Arabidopsis thaliana: one gene and its partners. The protein of the gene in region 1 interacts with the protein of each later gene in a pairwise test. Each region holds a gene or a part of one and is shown on either strand. Other genes may lie near its edges.

Region 1 (7,702 bases):
ACAACAATTTTATTTTTACTTTTATATCTCAGCATGACTACCGATTAGAATATATAAATGGTGAAACAGAAGCGGTTTTAATCCGCAATCTTATTAATCAGTGTTCCATGTACAAACCATTCAAAGCTAAAATTGTTCAATTGTTTGTTTTATGTCAAGCTTACAATTTTTCAATAACTCCTCATTTTCACATGTTTGCATGTGAAAATATTGATCCAACGATCCAAGAGACTTACAATTTGCTATTATTAGTATCAATTGGGATTAATTGAGAAATTCTATAGTCTTGAAACATGAATAAAGAAAAAATAAATGTGTTGACATGTTAATGAGGGATTAAAGAAATAAAAAAAAATTATTAGTAAGTTTAAGCGAGGTGAGAATGTAATGAACACCATTTTGTATTAGTAATTATACAATTCCATAGGCTAATCAACATGTAATAAAAAGTTTTAAGACCATGCAGTCGTTGAGGCTGTGGCTGTAATAATATTCATCCTTGCAATTGCGACTTAAAAACCAGCCATGTTTTTTGGCCCAAGAACCCTCACTAATCAAAACACATTCGCACAACAGCACAAGTTATATGAGTTCGCCAATTGGTACGTCTCGGTAACACTTGTAAGACCATCTCCATCGGAATATCTGATTGAGATACTCATCAATTAAATAATAATTAAAAAGAGAAAAAGTATGAGAGAAGAAGAGAAAAGTGGAGAAACTGGCAAGAGAGACTATTCTCAGCATTTATTGAGAGTTGTCATTCAATTAATAGTTCATTTACTTCAAACTAATTAAAATATATTAATTTGATTAAAATATTAATTTATTTACTTTTTGAGATACTCTCTACCACTTTTGCCGATGGAGATGCTCTAACAATCTCATCTCGTCTCTTATCTGCTTGATAGGCTTCGGTTAAACCTTTGTAATCAGGCCCAAAGTATTAACTCCTGTAAATAATTTGATAAGCCCATATTTTGTAATCAGAACCAAACCCTAAACCGGAAGTCCAAAAACCCTGTGGAGCAGCAAGTCAACACGCCCCACATTGGCTAATCCATGACATCGATCATATTATATTTATTCATATTGTCAAGTGATGATTCTTCGTTCATGTCTTTTAACATCACACAATTTTCTGCCTGAAATTACCGACTGCTAAAAGTATTTAATCATCTCTATTTTTATCTCCATTCTCCACGTTATAGGTGAGTCTATTTTATAGGCATTTTATTCTAATATATTCTTTTAAAATAGTTTTTTTTAAAAAATAAAAGAAATATATGGAAAAAAAATCAACTCAATTTTCTTTAAAATAAAAATAAAAATATATATCAAAAATGATCTAAATATCAAGCATCGACTCGTGTGATCGATTCTTTATTCTTTAAATCGTAAAATGACTTAATAAAAATTCGACTCTAAAAATATACAATAGATATGATTTATCAGTTGTCAAAAACTAAAAATAAAAAGTAGTTAAAATTTAAAAGTAGTTATAAAAAATAACCATACAAAACAGGCAACAATTGATTATTATTTTTTATTTTTTTGTTTTTCACTTTTGTGATTAGTAACCATTAAAACAACGCACATCTAATCATTGCGGTATATGTCTATTTTTATCAATAATATTTTTTTTATCATATAGTAATTATGATTTATGAATGTATAAATAAAATAATTCTGATTTTATTCAGAGTATATAAATAAACAAAAAATCTTCATTTCTCGGGTCGGGTCTAAATCGCGAGTTTTCGCGTAGGTTTGAGCAAAAAAAAAAAGAGAGAGAGTGCACAGTGCGCTTTTGGTAGAGAGAAAGGGTTGTTATTATTTAGGATTGATGTCTTCTTCTTCCTCTTCGTGATTCTCTCACACAATTTTCACCCATTTTCATGTCTCTTCCTACCAAACGCTCTACTTTCTCCGCCGCTTCTGCCTCCGACGACTCTTCTTACTCTTCTCCTCCGATGAAAAAGGCCAAAAACGACCTCCACCATTCCCCTCAACACCCTAATACCGCCGACAAGGTTGTTGGCTTTCATATGGAGGAAGATCCAACTCCCGCCGCCGCTAATCTCTCTCGGAAGAAAGCTACACTTCCGCAACCTACTAAGAAGTTTGTAATCAAGCTCAATAAAGGTTTCGCTCGATTTCGATTTCTTTCATCTTTACGATTTTGATCGTAATCTTAGGATTTGATTTGGGTCTTTTACTCTACTGTGCAATTGATGCTCTGGATTGATTTGAAATGATACAATTGTTAAGGTTCGTGATTTTTAGGGTTTTCATTGGCTTGCGATTGATGGAAGTTTTGTGTGAGTTTTGATGTTAAATTACAGTGGAAAATTGAGTGTGACTGTTGAATTTTGATGTGAATGAGTGATTTGGGTTTTTGTATTTCTTCTAAGTTGGAATCTCTTTGTCTAGCCTGATCTAGGTACTTAAGATCCGGAATCTTTGTTGTGCACAATCTAGTTGGCTTAGCTCTCACCAAACCTAATTTGTGCCATTAGAAAACATCTTGAGAATCATCTTTACTGTGACTGGCTAGCAAATTGAAGATAAAAGTGTTTTCATAATTAGGGTTCTGATTGTACCATTTGTATTATATATGTGAAGCCAAACCAACTCTACCAACAAACTTTGAGGAGAATACATGGGAGAAGTTGCAGTCAGCTATCAGAGCTATATTCCTCAAAAAAAAAATTTCGTTTGACCTCGAGAGCCTTTACCAGGTTAGGTTACGTGCAAATTTACTTACTTCCTTTCTTATTCGTATGTGTAAATGTCGTGCTGATGAGATTGTGATTGTTTTTTCAGGCTGTTGATAACCTTTGCTTGCATAAGTTGGATGGAAAGCTTTATGACCAGATTGAGAAGGAGTGTGAAGAACACATCTCTGCAGCTTTGCAATCTTTAGTTGGGCAGAACACTGATCTGACTGTTTTCTTGTCACGTGTTGAGAAATGCTGGCAAGACTTTTGTGACCAGATGCTCATGATTCGTAGTATAGCCTTGACTCTGGATAGGAAGTATGTGATACAGAATCCAAATGTACGTTCATTATGGGAGATGGGTTTGCAGCTTTTCCGGAAGCATCTTTCTCTGGCCCCTGAAGTTGAGCAGAGGACGGTTAAAGGTCTCTTAAGTATGATTGAAAAAGAAAGGTAAATTTTTAACCTTCTGGTCTTCCAAAATTAAACGAGGGTTGATTTATCACATTGAGAATATAATTTCATAAAGCCACTTTACCTCAACTTATTTTTCTGGCTTTTGAGTGAATATGGTAAGTTTGGATGGTCTATGAACTATTCCTGTCTAGCAGTGATAACTTGTTATAGGTAAAATTTCAAGGCAAATCAGGACTAGTGTATGTCATTTATATATTGGATAATGTTTTCATCTGAATCTGCTGAACTTTCTTGCATGATATTGGTCCTGCAGGTTAGCAGAAGCTGTTAATAGGACTCTACTAAGCCATCTTTTGAAGATGTTTACTGCACTGGGAATTTATATGGAAAGCTTTGAGAAACCTTTCCTTGAAGGGACCTCTGAATTTTATGCCGCTGAAGGAATGAAATACATGCAGCAGTCTGACGTTCCGGAGTACCTGAAGCATGTTGAGGTGCCTTGCATGACTTCATATAGTTTCCTTATGATTAGCTGCACTACAGGTTAATAGTCTTTCTAAGGTTTCTACTGGTGATTGGTGCAGGGAAGGTTGCATGAAGAGAATGAGAGATGCATACTCTACATAGATGCAGTAACCAGGAAACCATTGATCACAACTGTTGAAAGGCAACTTCTCGAACGTCATATACTTGTTGTTCTTGAAAAGGTTCCAATCTCCTATTATTCTTGTGTTGGCTTGCATATTATCCAATTTTAGTTTGTCGTAGTCTTACTTTATTTCTGAACATCTTCAGGGTTTTACAACATTAATGGATGGACGTCGTACGGAGGACCTTCAGAGGATGCAAACCTTGTTTTCTAGGGTCAATGCACTTGAGTCTCTGAGGCAGGCGCTAAGTTCATATGTTCGGAAAACTGGGCAGAAGATTGTTATGGATGAAGAGAAAGACAAAGATATGGTACAATCACTGTTGGACTTCAAGGCTTCTCTTGACATAATATGGGAAGAGAGCTTTTACAAGAACGAATCATTTGGTAACACAATCAAAGATTCGTTTGAGCATCTGATTAATCTTCGACAGGTATCAAATAGTGATTTTCTTGATTATTGCCTGAGTCTCTTGCTAATAATTTTACTTTCATGTAAAAGCAACATACTGATTATTGTGGAAATGTCAACCTTAAATTACAATTGTGAAATCGAGAAATTTATATTTTATAATAATCTATAGATTTCGTTACTGATTAAGCACTGTATTGCTATGATTTGGAGACATCTTTGGGCAGTGAATACTATTTTCAAACATAATTTTGAGATCAAGCTTCTTGTGGGCACTGGACCTGATCACAGTAGTGTTGTTTGCTAATATATATCACTTTGGATACCAAATACTCTGATTTAGCAAGCATCCCAAATAATATACATCTTATGCTGATAATCTTTTTTACAGAACCGGCCAGCTGAGCTTATTGCCAAGTTTTTGGACGAGAAACTCCGTGCTGGGAATAAGGGTACTTCTGAAGAAGAATTGGAGAGTGTTCTTGAAAAAGTCTTGGTTTTGTTCAGATTTATCCAGGTTATCTCTAATTTCTTACATTTAGTACTGTGTTTGTCACTGTAAATCACTGCTTCGAGGCCAGTGCATGGTCTGTAAACCAGCTATTTGATCTTCTGGATATCGGTTTTGCTGATGGATTTTTATTATTTATCAAAGGGTAAAGATGTGTTCGAAGCATTTTACAAAAAGGATCTTGCGAAGAGACTCCTGTTGGGAAAGAGTGCTTCAATCGATGCTGAGAAATCCATGATCTCTAAGGTTAAAAACTGATTTATATTCTGGGTGTTTCCCTTTCCCACAATTTGTTTTCTATATCTGTAGTTCTCACCCACTGATCCCAACCTTGGTTTTACCTACAGCTTAAGACTGAGTGTGGTAGCCAGTTTACAAACAAGCTCGAAGGGATGTTCAAGGTATCCTTTCTTCTCCTTCTCTATATTCAAAAAAGATGTTGGTCGTTTAAGTTTTACTAAGGAACAAACTTAATGATCTTATATTTTGTTACGTTTTACGATATACCCCGGTATACATATTCATTGTTAATCCAATCTAAGACAGGATTGGCGGATGATCCTGCTCCATACTTATTTTAATGAACTTGTGTACATTTACAATAATCCTAATGAGCTTGAACTCTCCGTTTTATTGAAATTTTCTCCAGGATATTGAATTGTCAAAGGAAATCAACGAGTCATTCAAACAATCTTCCCAGGCCAGAACAAAACTGCCATCGGGAATTGAGATGAGTGTCCACGTTTTAACAACAGGGTATGTACAATGTATCAATTTTATCCAGGATATAACTGCTGGAATGCGGATATCATGACATATATAAAGCTTGTTAACTTCCCGTCTATAATACAGGTACTGGCCAACATATCCGCCTATGGATGTTAAGCTTCCTCATGAACTAAATGTCTATCAGGTTTTACTAAAAGTTCTTCTTATGTATTTTTTTTTGTTTCCTCGTTGGACGTTTTCTTACAAGCTTTTTCTAAGCTATCTGTATGTTTCGTAGGATATCTTCAAAGAGTTCTATTTAAGCAAGTACAGTGGTAGGAGGTTAATGTGGCAAAATTCATTAGGCCACTGTGTTTTAAAGGCAGATTTCTCCAAAGGTAAAAAGGAGCTGGCTGTTTCCCTGTTTCAGGTCAGTCAAATTTTTTTTCCCCCCCCCCCCCTTTTAAGCTCTTTCCTGTCTTCCCGAGGTTACAGTGTTAATCAATTGCTCTTTTCTTTTTGTCTCAGGCTGTTGTGTTAATGTTATTTAACGATGCAATGAAACTTAGCTTTGAAGACATTAAAGATTCCACCAGCATAGAGGACAAGGAGCTGAGGAGGACTTTGCAGTCGCTTGCTTGTGGGAAAGTCCGTGTCCTGCAGAAGGTTTGGCCAAAATCTGGACTCTGTTAACTCTCTTTTCAGCTAATGCAGAAACTGCCGAGATTATGGCTTTGCCTTTTTCCATAAGGATAAGCCTTATTGTGTAAATATTTTTGCAGAATCCTAAGGGAAGAGATGTAGAAGACGGTGATGAATTTGAATTTAATGATGAGTTTGCAGCTCCGCTGTATCGCATTAAGGTACGTTGGTTTTTTTCTTGGTCTCTTCACTTAAAGTATCCTAGAATCTTGTGATACTGTTTTGTATGTAGCTTATAGTGAAGCAATTCTTTCTTTTGTTCCTGGGTGCAGGTAAATGCGATCCAGATGAAAGAGACAGTAGAGGAGAACACAAGTACAACGGAAAGAGTATTCCAGGACCGACAATACCAGGTTGGTTTCTGCTCTCCATTTTCCTTTACGATACTAATTTCTGAAATCGTTCTTACAACTTTGGCTTCTTAAACAAGAAAAGATTTTGACAAAATGGTTTTCCCCATCACACCCTTCTCTTACAGATCGATGCAGCCATTGTTCGTATTATGAAGACAAGAAAAGTCTTGAGCCATACTCTTCTAATCACTGAGCTCTTCCAACAGGTAAATTTCACTCCTGCTTGATGATTTTAAAATCCGAAATAACATGTCGGTTTATGAAAAAAGAAAGCATGAAATTCGTTACTAGGTCCAGTCCTATTGGTAATATACTCGTGATGATGATTAGAGTTCTCAGTAGTCTACTAAATTTAATATACCATTGCTATGAATGGATATATGTTTGTGATTTGCAGCTCAAATTCCCGATAAAGCCTGCTGATCTGAAGAAGAGGATTGAGAGCTTGATCGATCGAGAATATTTGGAGAGGGAAAAAAGCAACCCTCAGATATACAATTATCTTGCTTAGAATCTCTTTGGTAAACACACCTTTTGAATATTTTCCTTTTTGTATATTTATTGACAAACAAACGATGACCGAAATTTTCTTATCAGTTTGAAAAAAAAAAAGAACTCTCGATATTCCAATCATCTCTATTCTCGCTGTTCCGCCCGTTCTTATGTACAGCCTTAAGTTCTATTTCTTACTTTGATTCACTTTTCCTCGGTTCTCACTTTTTTTTTTTTTTTGAACATACTTTCTTGGGACTTCTTTGTTTTCAGATTTTTATACAACTTAAAAGATGTTTTTGTTTCCCTACAAAAATAACTGATTTGTTTTAAAAAAATTCAAACTTCCAATAAAGTTCCTAAGATAGGTTATATATCTTCGAGGGTTTTCTATGTGCTGATTCCATTTTGTTTTCGTTTTTGAGTTTTATTTGAATGGAGATAGTTCTTAGAGCTTTTTCTTCGTTTTTAGGCAATTAAATCTTAAGTTTAATCGGATTTTTTTTTACACTACATTATAGGCATTTCTGTTTTTACCACTACCAAATAACTAAAGAAAGAACAGAGAGAATCAAATTGCTTACTTGATGAACGTCCCTAACGACATTTAACTATGGCTGATCAATATTGTACGCAACTGAAAGACAATTGAATAAAATTCATACTACGGTTTGTGAAATAGTTAAATGTATCTACACGTACATTTAAGAAAAATGGAAATATATTGACTCATCGTCC
Region 2 (4,647 bases), on another chromosome or scaffold:
GATTCTTGTTTCATATTTAATCAAACACAGGTAAAAGAATGAAAAACTCTTGTGTAAGGGAATCTTGTACACTCCCGTCATGAAAGATAATACGCTTGATCATTTAAAAAAGATATACCTCTTGATATACTTTAGTGAGCATCTCAGAACGCGAAACGATTAATCCTGCTAGGCATTTGGCCGCTGCTCTCCTAACTTTCCAGCTGGCATCTTCATCATCTGTGTACTCATTTGCACTCTCGCTGTGAGAAAGAAAGACTTATTTCAGTGAGATAATGGTGCACCGTAAGGAGCTAGGCTACTGTTCCAATGAATAAATCAGAACTTACTCATCTTCTTCATCTTCAAGAGTCTCATTATCAGTATCTTCCTCCATATTGTCCGTAAAATTCGGGTCATAACTAATATATTCTAAAGTAAGATTTAAAATTTCATCACAATATGGTGAGATGTCCCTGGGACATCGTAGCAAGAAACTTTCAAGTGCCTGCAGTCAAATTTCAGAACAGACATGTTATCGTCTACATTGTTCATACCAATTTTATTGAACCTAAGATTAGAATTCCAATTTAATAGCATAGGAAAGAAAAGAGACTACAAGCACGCCTAAGTAATTGTCTGATTACAAAAATTAGATGAGAAAACAAAAAATGCAAGCGTAGTGAGAAAGTAGGAACATTAGGGAATCTTGCACGATACCTGTAAGCTATACTCGCGAAGCTCCTCGTCATTTTCTGAAGCGCTAGTGCAGTAATTGATTAATACTGGCACAGTGTTACCTAGATGAGTGCCAAACCGGTAACCAACAGCACGGCTGAAACAAAAACGCATTAAATAGCATTACAACCATGGCAAGCCTAGTCGTAGATAACCATTCATCCCAATCAATAAATAGGTAGCACAAGTACAACTAACCGAAGCATACTACAACACTACAGTAACGTATGGTAAGAAGTTAAAGATATATAACAAGCCGATAAGAAGGAAGATAGGAAGTACCATAAAGCTCCAATCATTTGAATATTGGTACGTGTAATCTCCGATTTTGCATTCCTGTTACTTAGATTTTTCACAACTTCAACAGTCGCCTTCGCGAGCAAATCATCAGACAGACTGGAAGCAAGAGAAGCTGACACCACACAAAATTTTGAACTTAGAAGAGGCTATATACCATCGAATTAAGAGTTCTATATACGACTAGGAAAAAAATGACATTGAATATATCATTTGAACTAGCATCGGTTTCACAAGAATTGACGCAAACAGCTGAAAACCATATTTCTAATATAGATAAGGAAAGCTACCACTCAAGTCTCGGCAGATTAAAGTTGGTTTCAAATTAGCTAAATATTGACATTAGTACCGACAGTACCCAGCAATCATATTGACTCAATTTTATGAACTTACCAATGCATGTAACAGTCTTCTTCCTGACTGTGGCTTGGTTACAGCCCAATTGCAATAACAATGTATTCAATAGCTTCTCGTGATCATCCGTCATTAAACTTCCATATTTTTGAACAACATCACACATGATCTCAAGACATTCACACTTGATCCCTGAGCTCATTCCCTTCAGCAGTAAATACGCAGAAAATTAGTTACTTGTAAAATAAGATGATAGAACCTTAGAGTAGACAAATAATTATATGCATATACTGTGCTCTGGTCTACTAAGAGTTTTTCAGACAGAGTTCTTTAACTGTATTAGATCCAATAAAACTTAAAACGTAAAATCAACTAATTTTCCAATAGATGTCAATCAATATGATTTTGATGGGATCCGAAATTGTCTAGGACGACCCTAAGCACTGTCGCATATGCAATCGAAATAATAAGGAATAGACCTCCCAACAACTAACCTGGCCACTTATTCCTCCTATCATTTGTGGTGTTAGAGTAACAAGAATAGATGGAGCAAGCGTAGGAGCAATTTGAGCGACAACAGTCCTGAGAGCTATGCTTGCGGTATCACGATGCTGGTCTTTCCCATGCAGCAGTTTATCACATAACTTGTTGGTCATTTCAACAATTCGTTCTTCTCCAACCTTCTTCACCAATGGAGCAAGACTGGAACAAAATCATAACATCAAAGGTCGACGATAGATCAGCTAAATGTAAAAGTATAACATCAGCTTAGGTCATAAGTTGCTAAGAGCAGAAAGCTAACCATTTAACAGCCAATCCAGAAACATCACCAGCCACATCATCGAGCTGTTGCAATATGATACTCGACAATCTCACCTCCAAGTCCAGGTCGATTTTAAAGGAATCCTTATTCAACTCATTAAGCAAATCAGAGGTTGCCATGTATCTGTAATCTTTATCTTTACCCGTCATCTGAAACTATAGTAAATACAGCAATGAGAAAAGGTGACTATACTCAAAAACAAAATTAAGCTTAATTAGAAACAGATGATGAAAAGACCTTTTCGAGTATCCCAGAAACTTGTAAGTTCGCCATATTGGCCCGACCTTCTCAATTCACTCCTTCCAACTGCAATCAAACAAGGATCTCAAAATTCATTACTTAGTAAAAAGAGAATCAACCATGCGTTGAACTAAAACGCTTAGTCAGAGCAATGTCACTCTATCAAGCTCTCCACAGAGGTTAAAACATCAGAAACAAAGTCAGAAGTGTAAAGAAGAAGCATCGAAGATGGATTAATTATCGCCGGTAACAAAACCTAATTAATATCCCTTAGAAAACTTTTGATTCATCGAAGATCACAAAGAAGAAGTTCGGTTTGATAAATCAAAGTATCGTCGCCACCAAAACCCTAAGACTACGACTACGAAGACGAAAAGAGTTAACGCTAGACATCATCACACTTTATCGATCAAAAAGCAAAAAAGAGGTAACCCTAAGTAACCTGAGAAGATGAAATCGACGGAGGTAACGCCGGAGACGGAGTAGAACGCCGAGAGTTCCGATTTGGTGGTGGTGGAAGTTGCGGAGAGGAGAGAGCTCTGAGGAAAGTAAAAAAAGATGGAGGAGATACTGTAAATTTCCGTACTCGTGAAAGCTTGATTTTTAGCCCTTCTCTCTTCTTAAGGAGGAAGTTAACTTTCTTCTAAATGGGCCTGTGTAGGATTAATTGGGCCTGACTTGGTGCGATTTGAGTCGGTTAATGGGTAGCGTTTATTTCATGCTGTACATTGTTGGACTTGATTAGTCGGTTAATACTAAATGGGTTTGGCCCAATTACTTTGTTTTCAGTCTGAGCCCAAGCATGGGTTTCTTTGTTTGATCCAAGTAGTTCTTTTTTTGTTTGCTTTTTTTGTGTCAGGGACATGCTATGCGATTGCGACCAACCAACTAAATAGTGTTAGCCATTGGTTCATCGACAATTTATGGTCAATATTTTTGAACGATTAGCAAGTAAAAAATTGTATCACTGAAAGTTTTCAACCTAGGCCAAGTATATGTGGTTTAGTGGTAGGGGAAGCTTTGGGAAGGATGAAACTCTTAGACCCGAGTTCGATTCTCCTTGAAAGTTGGTAAGTGTATAAGTTGGGTCTTGGTTTAATTGGTTTACTTGGTAATTAGAAATGTAGGCGGCCGCCTGACTACCCCCTGGCATTAGTCAGAAAGCATTTCAAACTCGTGACAGACAGACAGTATGGTGGTTTTTCGGGAAGAAGTCCACTCGAAAACATTTCGGTGTGTTTTTACTAGGGCTAACCAGATCAGCCGATAAGGTTTATAAGAAAAAAAAAAAATTGAATCAAAATCATTTGTTAAATGTTCCCGACCCAACGACTACCAAATAAACATGATTTCATTGTCGATAGTCATCGCTAACGATTATAAAGTTAACAAAATATAACTGATTGTCATTGTTGCTAACGACTAAAAAAAACTAAAACCGTAAAATATGGTATAGATGTGAGATTTTTTGTCGAAATTAGACTTCCTTTATTTTGAACTAGAACTTCGAAATTCAAATTATTAGATACTTTTGTCTAAGTAGTTTCTTCGTCATCTGTTTCTTCCACTTCCACGTGTGTAAATTTTTCGTGGGTTTCAGGATTAAGTCTTCCTTATGCTATTTCCTTAGTCTTAGTTGTTGACAAATATGTGCCCGTAGAATCTTCATACTTTCGAATGACAAATTCATCGCCAGACTCACGGTCACGCAAGAATGGAAGGTTAGACACCTCAGGCACATTCAAGTGTTGAAGCTCTTCAATTACTTGATTATAGACATACTAATATTTGAAAAGCAACAAAATTATGAATTTTTTCAGATGAGAAGTTAGGTCAGTGCTGTCCTCTAGTAGTTCCTCTATTACCTGAAAGAAAATGAATAACACACATCATGTCATCATACATGCAAATACAAAATCTAAATGTATAGTATACTACTATTTTGAACTAAACCAAGTAAAAAGTACCTCTCTACCACGTATAGTTTTAGTACCAATTATTTCATATGCTCTTTCGGATCCCTCCGTTAATGGCCATTTAAAATAGTCACAATCGCAAAGAATGCACATCTCCAGAAAATTATCGTCTGTGAATTCTGAAAAATCGTAAGATTTTGCTTCTTCTTTAGTTTCTTTTTCGTTGTCTTTATTTTTCTTGCTACTATGAAACCGCTTCAATAAGTCTATCATTTCGAGTTCAAGCAATTCAAAGTCTTT
Region 3 (3,977 bases), about 12 Mb from region 1:
GAAAGGTTTACCTTTGGTGGTGTCGGAGACCGGGTGGCCCTCTGCCGGGAATGGAGGCATGACGACACCGGCTCTTCAATATACGTACATTGGTAACTTTGTGAAGCATGTTGCAAGTGGTAAAGGAACGCCTAAGAGGCCAAATAGTAGAATTGATGCGTATATATTTGAGACGTACAATGAGAACCAGAAGCCAGTTGGAATCTATCAGCATTTTGGGTTATACGATCCTTACTGAGACGACGCCCATGTACACGCTCTTCTGATCCTCGATGTTGTGTTCAAGTGGTCAGTTTTTACTGTTTCTCTTAAGAATCTGTGTTGTCAAAATAATGCTCTAGTATTGTTTGTTTAGGGGTTGAAAGACCCATTTAATAAAACTTATGGTTTATAATCTAAGTGGGTTTCGAGTTAGCCTTATTAGAAATTTCACTTTAGTATTTGGAACTACTAAATTGAAGGAAAACACAATTGAGGATCAAAAGAGCGTTTGGTACCCAGCTCCTATGTTTTTTTACGAGTAAAAAACTCTTTGCAGGATTTTTACTTTTTAATTTTGAAATCAAAGACGTCACCCAAAGCACAACCATAATAGGTTTAGTGAACACTGAACAGTAAATCTCTGTTTCCACAAATTGTAAAATACAGTACCAAAAAAAGGGCAAAAACTTGAACAATCTTTAGTTATCATATGCGGTGGTAACCAAATGAACCTGATGTCTTCACGATTAGACACATGCTTGCTGGAACCATTTGTTGATTTAGTGACCATATTTCTGAAACTCCCACTCACTGTTATCTGTTGAAACAACTCAGCAATATTAGCAAACAAACAAAAACTGCATACTAGTCAAGAAGCTTAAAACCAAGAAACACATACCCAATGGACAAACTTGACGAGTCTTTAGCCATCTGCTGATGCAGTGAAAGTGGAAGGCGTGATTGCAAACCCCTGCAAGTACATATTGAGTATCTTTCGTTAGGGAAGGCACTAAATAATTTATGTATATCCACTTGAGTTGTCACATTATAGAAAAAAGATTCGAAAAGGTCATCACACAATCACATACATCTTAAAGGAATACTTCCTACTTTCTCTAATACTTCCTAGCTAACAAGATTCACCCTCCAAGTGGTCATCTTTCATTGAGCAATCAAGAATACAGAAATACTTATTGCAGTTATTTTGGTCGTCCTCTGAGTTTTTAATTCATCATCAATCGTACAATCAACTGCAAGACTATGAAAGCATGTAAACACAATAACTACAATTTGGTCTCTCTCTCTCTCAGAAAATCTTTAAAACTCCATAAATCTAATCAACTGTACTACTCATCGACCAATCTAGATTGCTGCAAAACAAGGAACAGGGTCTGCTCTCAAATAAAGCAAAGACATCTATCAGAGTGATACTACCACATAAGTAAAATTCAATGTCAAGTTTTAAAACACGCACTCAGAGATACTAAAATTGTTTCACACAACACTTTCGCATACAGTTTTGTGTTTCTAGATTCACAATTACGATAGCTACAATTATAAACCAAATCAAGTTTCCAAACAAAAAGCAACGATTGAGATCATGATCATAGAAGAAGAAAAATGCTTACCCCAAGCTACAGTGCACTCTTCACTTGTGGCACTGGCCTGATTAGCCTGACACTCGATACCTAACAACAAACCAAAACACAAAAACGAAATAAGCATAAACATTCAACATCATCGTTACAAATTCCAAAATCAATCGATTGTTTTAAGACTTACAAAGATCCATGATGTGGTTTCTGCAGATCGCACAGTTGTCAACAACGATATCTGCAACCAAAACAAAGATCAATCAATCAATAAAACTCTTAACCTAACCAAAAATTAACATCGTAACACAAACATCGAAACATCGAAAGACCAATTGAAGATAGTGTATAAGGATTTTCGAGGTTACCCCAAGCCCAGAGAGCAACGGCGCTCCACTTCTTAATTTCGAATCGCTTAGCTTTCTTGTTGGAAGACGACGCGGCTACGCTGCTGGAGGCTTCTCCGGCAGGAATCATGGTAACGTCGGAGTCTAGAGTCGCCATTAATCTCTGATCGGAAAGAAAATTTAAACCCTAGAAAAGCCGGAGAAAAATATCAACGTTTGAGCTGTCGCTGATTTTGTTGTAGAGAGAGATTGTAGAGGAAGAAGAAGAGAGATATATAAAGCAGCTTTGGGCTTTGCCTGTATAGTGGGCTTTCGTCGGAATTAGATTCCCGTAAATTTCCATAATTCGGTTTAAGGTTTCCTTTTTTTAATCTTACTCATCCTACGATTTACATAAATATTTTAATTTTTCCTTTATTATCCCAACGATTTTTATTTATTTAATTGATAAATTAAATATTTTTAAGCAAAAAGATTACGGAAAATATCTATTTTATATAATAAAAAAAACATATATATATATTTTTTTCTAACTATTCCCAGAAGATTTACAATAACTATATGACTAATTAACTAATCATTACATACGCTTAGTTCAAATTAACTGGAAAATCATTACATCATAAAAGCTTAGCGTATTCAATGCATCAAGATGTTAGAAAATAGTGTCAAGATATTTTTCTACAAGCCATAAGAGTTGCATATAGTTAGATGATGTATATGCTTCATGCCACCTGCCTCTGGTCTCTGAGAGCTGAAACTTTCTTCCGCAGTTCAATATTTGATATTCTCTCCACCTCCAGAGCTCGTTCAAGCTACACAATCCGTTGGTTTTGGTTTAGCCTCTCATAGTAAACAAAAGGGTTTGAATTCGATAAACTCGATATTGGCTTAAGATTTTTCACTATCATATTGCTGCATCTCTAAAACATACAATGAAGAGAGAGAGAGAGAAGAGAAGATTGTACCTTTGCAGCTCGCATACTCCATTCTCCAAGAATAGCTCTTAACCTTTCATTTTCTGCTACATACTGTTTCAGGAGTTTCAAAAACAAAAGATGATGAGTTCAGGGATCAGAAAAAATGTGTAGCCCTTGCAAATTGTTTGATGCAAAAACAATTCATGGTAAAGCTGTGTTGATGATAAACATGATGTGATGCTGTGAAAGTATGTTTTGTTCTCATATGTTCTTATGTTTATAGATAGACTCGAACCTGATTATTGGTATTCCGGACGTGTTGTATCTCTCTATCTCTCTCAGAGATCAGAGATCGAGCGAGATTAAGCTCTGAATGGAGTTGATCCACCTGCAAGACACACAATTTTCATTTAAAGATGCTACATCAAGGATACTAGCCTTGAAATGTCAATCAACTATGATATGTTTTCCACCAAATGGGTAAAAGAGAGATGAGAAAGAAAAATTAACCATGGGAATTTGCAAGTTTATCATTTGTTAACCGAGCTTTACCTCAGCAGATAGTGTTCGTAATTCCTGATCTCGAGTTGCCACAAGATGCGCCAGATCAACCTGAAAGTTTAACATTTATCAAATGCAAAAATTAAAATCCCAGTGGAAGGAAAAAGTTATACATTACTTTTAAGAAAATTTATTAAGAATGTTGTTAGAATGTGTACACGCTGATAAAAAGAAGTCAAAAATTCAGAATGGAGCAGTTCAAACCTGAGGCGTGCTACTACCATTCGTTTCATATTTACTTAAGGACTCCTGCAAACGCAGAATCTGAAACAAAACAAGAGAGGTCAGAGACTCACTCTAACGAAAGCATGGGAAAATTCAGAAAATTAGGGTAGACAATGAAGAGCTAGAGAGAGCATTGAACTTAGAATTACTAGTAAGAAACATCACAAGCATCAAGATTCAGAAATGAAGTACTCATGATAAATATTCCATGGATTGTCACCTCTTCACTGAGATAATGGAGATTCTCGCGTTGATATTGCAGTAGAGCCATTTGTTGATCAGAAAGGCGACCGGCTTCATGGTATCTGTGTTTCAAGCAAAAAAAACGAAGTAAGACTTGAGAATTGTAA
Region 4 (3,845 bases), on another chromosome or scaffold:
TCGATATACTGGATATATCTTCCAACATCTCTAGAGGTTTTACTCAAAACTTCAAGAGAAATATATATGATGCCAACGAAGGGGAACATTAAATAAAAAAATAAGATAAACAAATTGAGTATATACATGTGATGCATAAAATGACATATTCATCTGCATATACACTAACACATCTAACACACGTATAATTAACGGATAAATATTACAACGTACCGATATGAAGATATTAGTCGCAGAGACTCAAAATATGTTACTCTTTTTTAACACTGCTGTTCTACATATTCTCTATATATACCATGCGTAGATAGATATGTACTGACCATTTGTGATAATTATGTTAAACAGAGTTAGGTTAAAAGAACGAAAAGAATTGACCGGTAGATTTGGTCTCTCAAGTCTCACTTGTGTCTTCAATAGAAAGTTTGATCTTTCTTTTTGGAGATAATCAATCAATAAAGATTATGGAACATGTTAGGTACCAACTAATACTCTTCAGTTTAATTATCTCATCTGTAATCGCTTTTCTCTAGAAGTTATGGCCTACTATTCTTGTTTCAAAACAAAATGCTCTTGTTTTCTTATAAAAGAAACAATTCCTCAGTTATATTCAGACCATATATGATCTTTGGTTTTCGAGTCCTTGACGAAAAGATTTGACACTAAATTGTATAACCTTCAATAAATTGGAGTTGTTGAGGATTGGTCCTACCTCACATTGTTGCCTATTATCTGAGCAAACAATTTTCTTGGCCATCTAACATTGTGGTTCCACTTTTATGAATGTACATTGATGACCATTAACTAACCAAAGAACTAGGTGTATTTATAATACATCAGTTGTCTTTTCCTCGTATTGAAGATCTCACTTGGCAAATCGCAATGTCCATTCTTTGGCTACCTCGTCATGCTTTTCTCTATCTGTCAAGTAGAGCCGTGCAATCACCGGTAAAGCTGGACTATCTGGTCGATGAAGAAGAAGCAAAAAGAATAAGAACAATAGAGATTTACTATGGAAGTTAAATACAGTAGTTAGATGCGGACATCTATTATGTTTGTTGGCCAAAACTCATCACAAACTTTTTTTTAAAAACGTTCTCTTAGGTAGATCTGACATGAGCTGGTCATTTCATCAGAGGACTTGAAATGGTCTGATCTGAAGCCTGAGAGTAGAATAGAAACTTACAGGGTTCAGGTTTTAAGAAGATAGATCTGATGGCTTGTAAGACTTTAGTGATTGTAAGGGCTGGACTCCAACTATCTCTTAGAATGTTCACACTTAAATCTCCCGCAGTATCAACATTGCAATGGTAAATCCGAGTCTTGAACACCAACTGCAAATCAACCTCACCAACTTAACCAAAAAGACAGATGTAATAAAAGTGCAAGCTCTAGATTAGTACCTATAGCTTGACTATCACTAGACCCAAAACTTCAAGAAATTTGCTACAAAATGTATCCTAAGACTATGTTGAAAGCAATAAAACTACATAATATGCTAGACACTGAGAGTCTGAGACACTAGATGATCTCTGTTTCAATGTGATGCAGTTGAAGACTCATTGATATTCACTAAATAGTTCTTCCTAAAGAGATCATCATTAGAAATCAAAACTTCTAAACCTTAAATCATTACCAGCTAAATCAGTAAAGCTCCCAAAATGTGTTAACCAAAGAATCCATGATCATACCTTAGGTGGCTTGAATGGATAATCAGATGGGAAAATTATATCCAGGAAAAAGATCCCTCCTTCATAGGGAGTTCCTGCAAAAGTTCCATAAACACCAAATTCAAAGACTTGAAAACCTAACAAATTTTCAATCGGATTATCTACAAATATTCAAAGAGAGTATCAGAATTAAACCCGAAGGACCAATGATGGTGGCGATCCAATGGTAGAGATTATCTCCTTTTGGACCAGCTGAGCAATCAGGAGGTGGATCAATGTTAAGCTCAGCCATCTCCCTCTGTATCCTCTTCCCTGACGCAGAAACTGAAGTCTTCGCTACCCAAGACGACGCCGTTCCTGAATATCCGGCGTACATCGCCGTCGGTAACGGTCTCAACCTCCCGCTTCCGCCAGGTGTCATCATCTCCCGTCGTCGTCGTCTTCCGATACTCTCTGCTTATCCAATCCACCACTTGATCGTTTCGCTCGCACTCCATCGGGAAAAGATTTCGAAACGCCGCGTTTTTGTCCGATCAATTAAACAAATAAAGTAATCGCTGACGTGGAGATTAATTTTGTAACATGTATTTTTTATTTTTATTTTCTCTCACTAATCACTATCAATAAATTTGTAATCATTTTGACAACCAAATTTATTTAAGTTGAATTATCGAATATTCTTGTCCTTTTGTGTAATGTGATCATGTTATAACCACGTGAATCCTTAATAATTTGATAAATGATTATTCAAAGTTCTTGAAAAAGGCACACATTTTGGAAAGAAAATTGAAATTATCCAAAATCAATTTAATTTTTGTTTAAACATAATCAAATTTACTCTGTCAATTTTTATGAATAACATGATTTACGTAAACTCTCCTACAATGCACTGATTCATTTGAATATGAAATTTAAATCACTCTAATTCGAATATTTTAGTTCAAAGATGAAGACAAAAAAAAGAATGGGAACTTGTGAGCCCTCTTTAGTCTCTAGTTACACTTACACTAAAAACAAAGTACACAGTAACTACCGGTAACCGTAAGAAATCCAATCCAAGCCACAGGTAGACTTCCCCGGTTACTACAAAACCGCTTTTTGGCAAACGTTCTACAAAAGGCGGTCATGCTGAAGCAACAGTTGTAGTAGAGTGAGAGCTAACGGTGCCAATATGGGAAGATGGTAGCTAAAGATGATACGTGCGTTTGCGTTTCCTCCCAATGGACTTGCGGGTCCTAACGCATCCGGAGGAAAGTTTCCATTAGTAGCGTTTGCGTTTAAGCTGAGATAAATGGAAAATGATTTCAAAGAGTTAGGAGCAGATTTCATTTTCAAAACTTAACAAGACATAAATTTAGTATCGTTACCTTCCCGTATATGCACATGTTCTATAGCCTGCAAACACACAAGCCATCGAATTTGAGATTTACTCTGAGGAAACAACTTGAAAACATAGAATTATTGCAACACATAGATCAGAGGAAATGAGAAAAACTTACTAGGATCTCTAGTCGTAGTGATAGCCGTACCATCAAAGTCACAAGTTCCACCTGCACTTTTCATCTTCTGGTAATAGTCATTGAAAGCAAAAGAAGCATGGCTCTTAACATCGTTAGGGAGGTAGCAAGGTTGGCCCGGTTGAATGGCAGCGCAGTTAGCTCGGCCTTGACCACACGCCCAATTCAAACCGTCAACCAACTTATCATCATCAGCATCTGCTTTAGCCACGCAGAACATCGATGAACCGTTTAGAGCTGCGGAGCTAGAGCCACCACTCAAACTCAGAGGGTAAACCGAGGTCCCATTTGGAAACAAAATCCCCCAGTTTCTTTCAGAGACTGGTCCTGACCGCTTGTCTTCATTGTACAGCTCGTAGATGTAAGTGTTTATCGGTATGTCTGGTTGACTAGGAGGACCTGAGTTGTTCAGCACTCTCTTGATCAAGTTAGTGTTGAATGTCTCCGCATTAGCGACTGTTGCAGCCGCTTCATCGCTTCCACCAGACGAAGGCCAGCCTGTTTCCGTGACTACAACAGGAATCTTGGAGAAATTCAAAGCTTCCATGGAGTAGTAAGCAGCATCAACCATAGCATCAAACATGCTGTTGTAATGTAAAAGCGTGTTGGGATCAACAATCTGCTTCACCGGAGAAAGCTGCTTGAACAAAGCGTAATCAAG

What was found.
Region 2: the proteins of CUL4 (region 1) and CAND1 interact in a two-hybrid assay, tested with the Arabidopsis thaliana proteins (one study listed by BioGRID).
Region 3: the proteins of CUL4 (region 1) and RBX1 interact in binary tests that used the Arabidopsis thaliana proteins (3 or more experiments, as listed by UniProt).
Region 4: the proteins of CUL4 (region 1) and FUS9 interact in binary tests that used the Arabidopsis thaliana proteins (3 or more experiments, as listed by UniProt).

The regions. Positions count from the first base shown.
Region 1 is NC_003076.8:18,730,850-18,738,551, reverse strand, and holds CUL4 (cullin4), read left to right. Parts: upstream 1-1,736; 5' UTR 1,737-1,898; coding exon 1,899-2,145; intron 2,146-2,625; coding exon 2,626-2,741; intron 2,742-2,826; coding exon 2,827-3,173; intron 3,174-3,450; coding exon 3,451-3,631; intron 3,632-3,721; coding exon 3,722-3,844; intron 3,845-3,932; coding exon 3,933-4,220; intron 4,221-4,589; coding exon 4,590-4,715; intron 4,716-4,853; coding exon 4,854-4,955; intron 4,956-5,056; coding exon 5,057-5,110; intron 5,111-5,358; coding exon 5,359-5,465; intron 5,466-5,561; coding exon 5,562-5,622; intron 5,623-5,715; coding exon 5,716-5,847; intron 5,848-5,945; coding exon 5,946-6,083; intron 6,084-6,199; coding exon 6,200-6,280; intron 6,281-6,391; coding exon 6,392-6,472; intron 6,473-6,597; coding exon 6,598-6,678; intron 6,679-6,869; coding exon 6,870-6,983; 3' UTR 6,984-7,181; downstream 7,182-7,702. UniProt on the Arabidopsis thaliana protein: Component of the CUL4-RBX1-CDD (COP10-DDB1a-DET1) E3 ubiquitin-protein ligase complex which mediates the ubiquitination and subsequent proteasomal degradation of target proteins. Participates in the CDD complex to light-mediated control of development.
Region 2 is NC_003071.7:688,162-692,808, reverse strand, and holds the start of CAND1 (cullin-associated and neddylation dissociated), read right to left. Parts: upstream 3,026-4,647; 5' UTR 2,874-3,025; intron 2,498-2,873; 5' UTR 2,465-2,497; coding exon 2,429-2,464; intron 2,347-2,428; coding exon 2,171-2,346; intron 2,071-2,170; coding exon 1,863-2,070; intron 1,574-1,862; coding exon 1,408-1,573; intron 1,130-1,407; coding exon 1,000-1,129; intron 815-999; coding exon 700-814; intron 488-699; coding exon 330-487; intron 243-329; coding exon 119-242; intron 1-118. Other genes in the region: AT2G02550 (PIN domain-like family protein), read right to left, coding at 4,045-4,212. UniProt on the Arabidopsis thaliana protein: Key assembly factor of SCF (SKP1-CUL1-F-box protein) E3 ubiquitin ligase complexes that promotes the exchange of the substrate-recognition F-box subunit in SCF complexes, thereby playing a key role in the cellular repertoire of SCF complexes.
Region 3 is NC_003076.8:6,956,144-6,960,120, forward strand, and holds RBX1 (RING-box 1), read right to left. Parts: upstream 2,169-3,977; 5' UTR 2,079-2,168; coding exon 1,943-2,078; coding exon of another isoform or gene 1,889-1,942; intron 1,816-1,888; coding exon 1,765-1,815; intron 1,671-1,764; coding exon 1,611-1,670; intron 1,198-1,610; coding exon 1,126-1,197; intron 953-1,125; coding exon 881-952; intron 800-880; coding exon 762-799; 3' UTR 517-761; downstream 1-516. Other genes in the region: AT5G20560 (Glycosyl hydrolase superfamily protein), read left to right, coding at 1-238; AT5G20580 (TMEM192 family protein), read right to left, coding at 2,647-2,736, 2,890-2,952, 3,137-3,229, 3,394-3,453, 3,607-3,666, 3,848-3,932. UniProt on the Arabidopsis thaliana protein: Component of the SCF (SKP1-CUL1-F-box protein) E3 ubiquitin ligase complex, which mediates the ubiquitination and subsequent proteasomal degradation of target proteins.
Region 4 is NC_003074.8:4,422,707-4,426,551, forward strand, and holds FUS9 (Ubiquitin-conjugating enzyme family protein), read right to left. Parts: upstream 2,189-3,845; 5' UTR 2,092-2,188; coding exon 1,863-2,091; intron 1,763-1,862; coding exon 1,689-1,762; intron 1,332-1,688; coding exon 1,184-1,331; coding exon of another isoform or gene 1,122-1,183; exon of another isoform or gene 961-1,121; coding exon 863-960; 3' UTR 531-862; downstream 1-530. Other genes in the region: AT3G13560 (O-Glycosyl hydrolases family 17 protein), read right to left, coding at 2,778-2,949, 3,035-3,062, 3,167-3,845. UniProt on the Arabidopsis thaliana protein: Component of light signal transduction machinery. Involved in repression of photomorphogenesis in darkness by participating in the CDD complex, a complex probably required to regulate the activity of ubiquitin conjugating enzymes (E2s).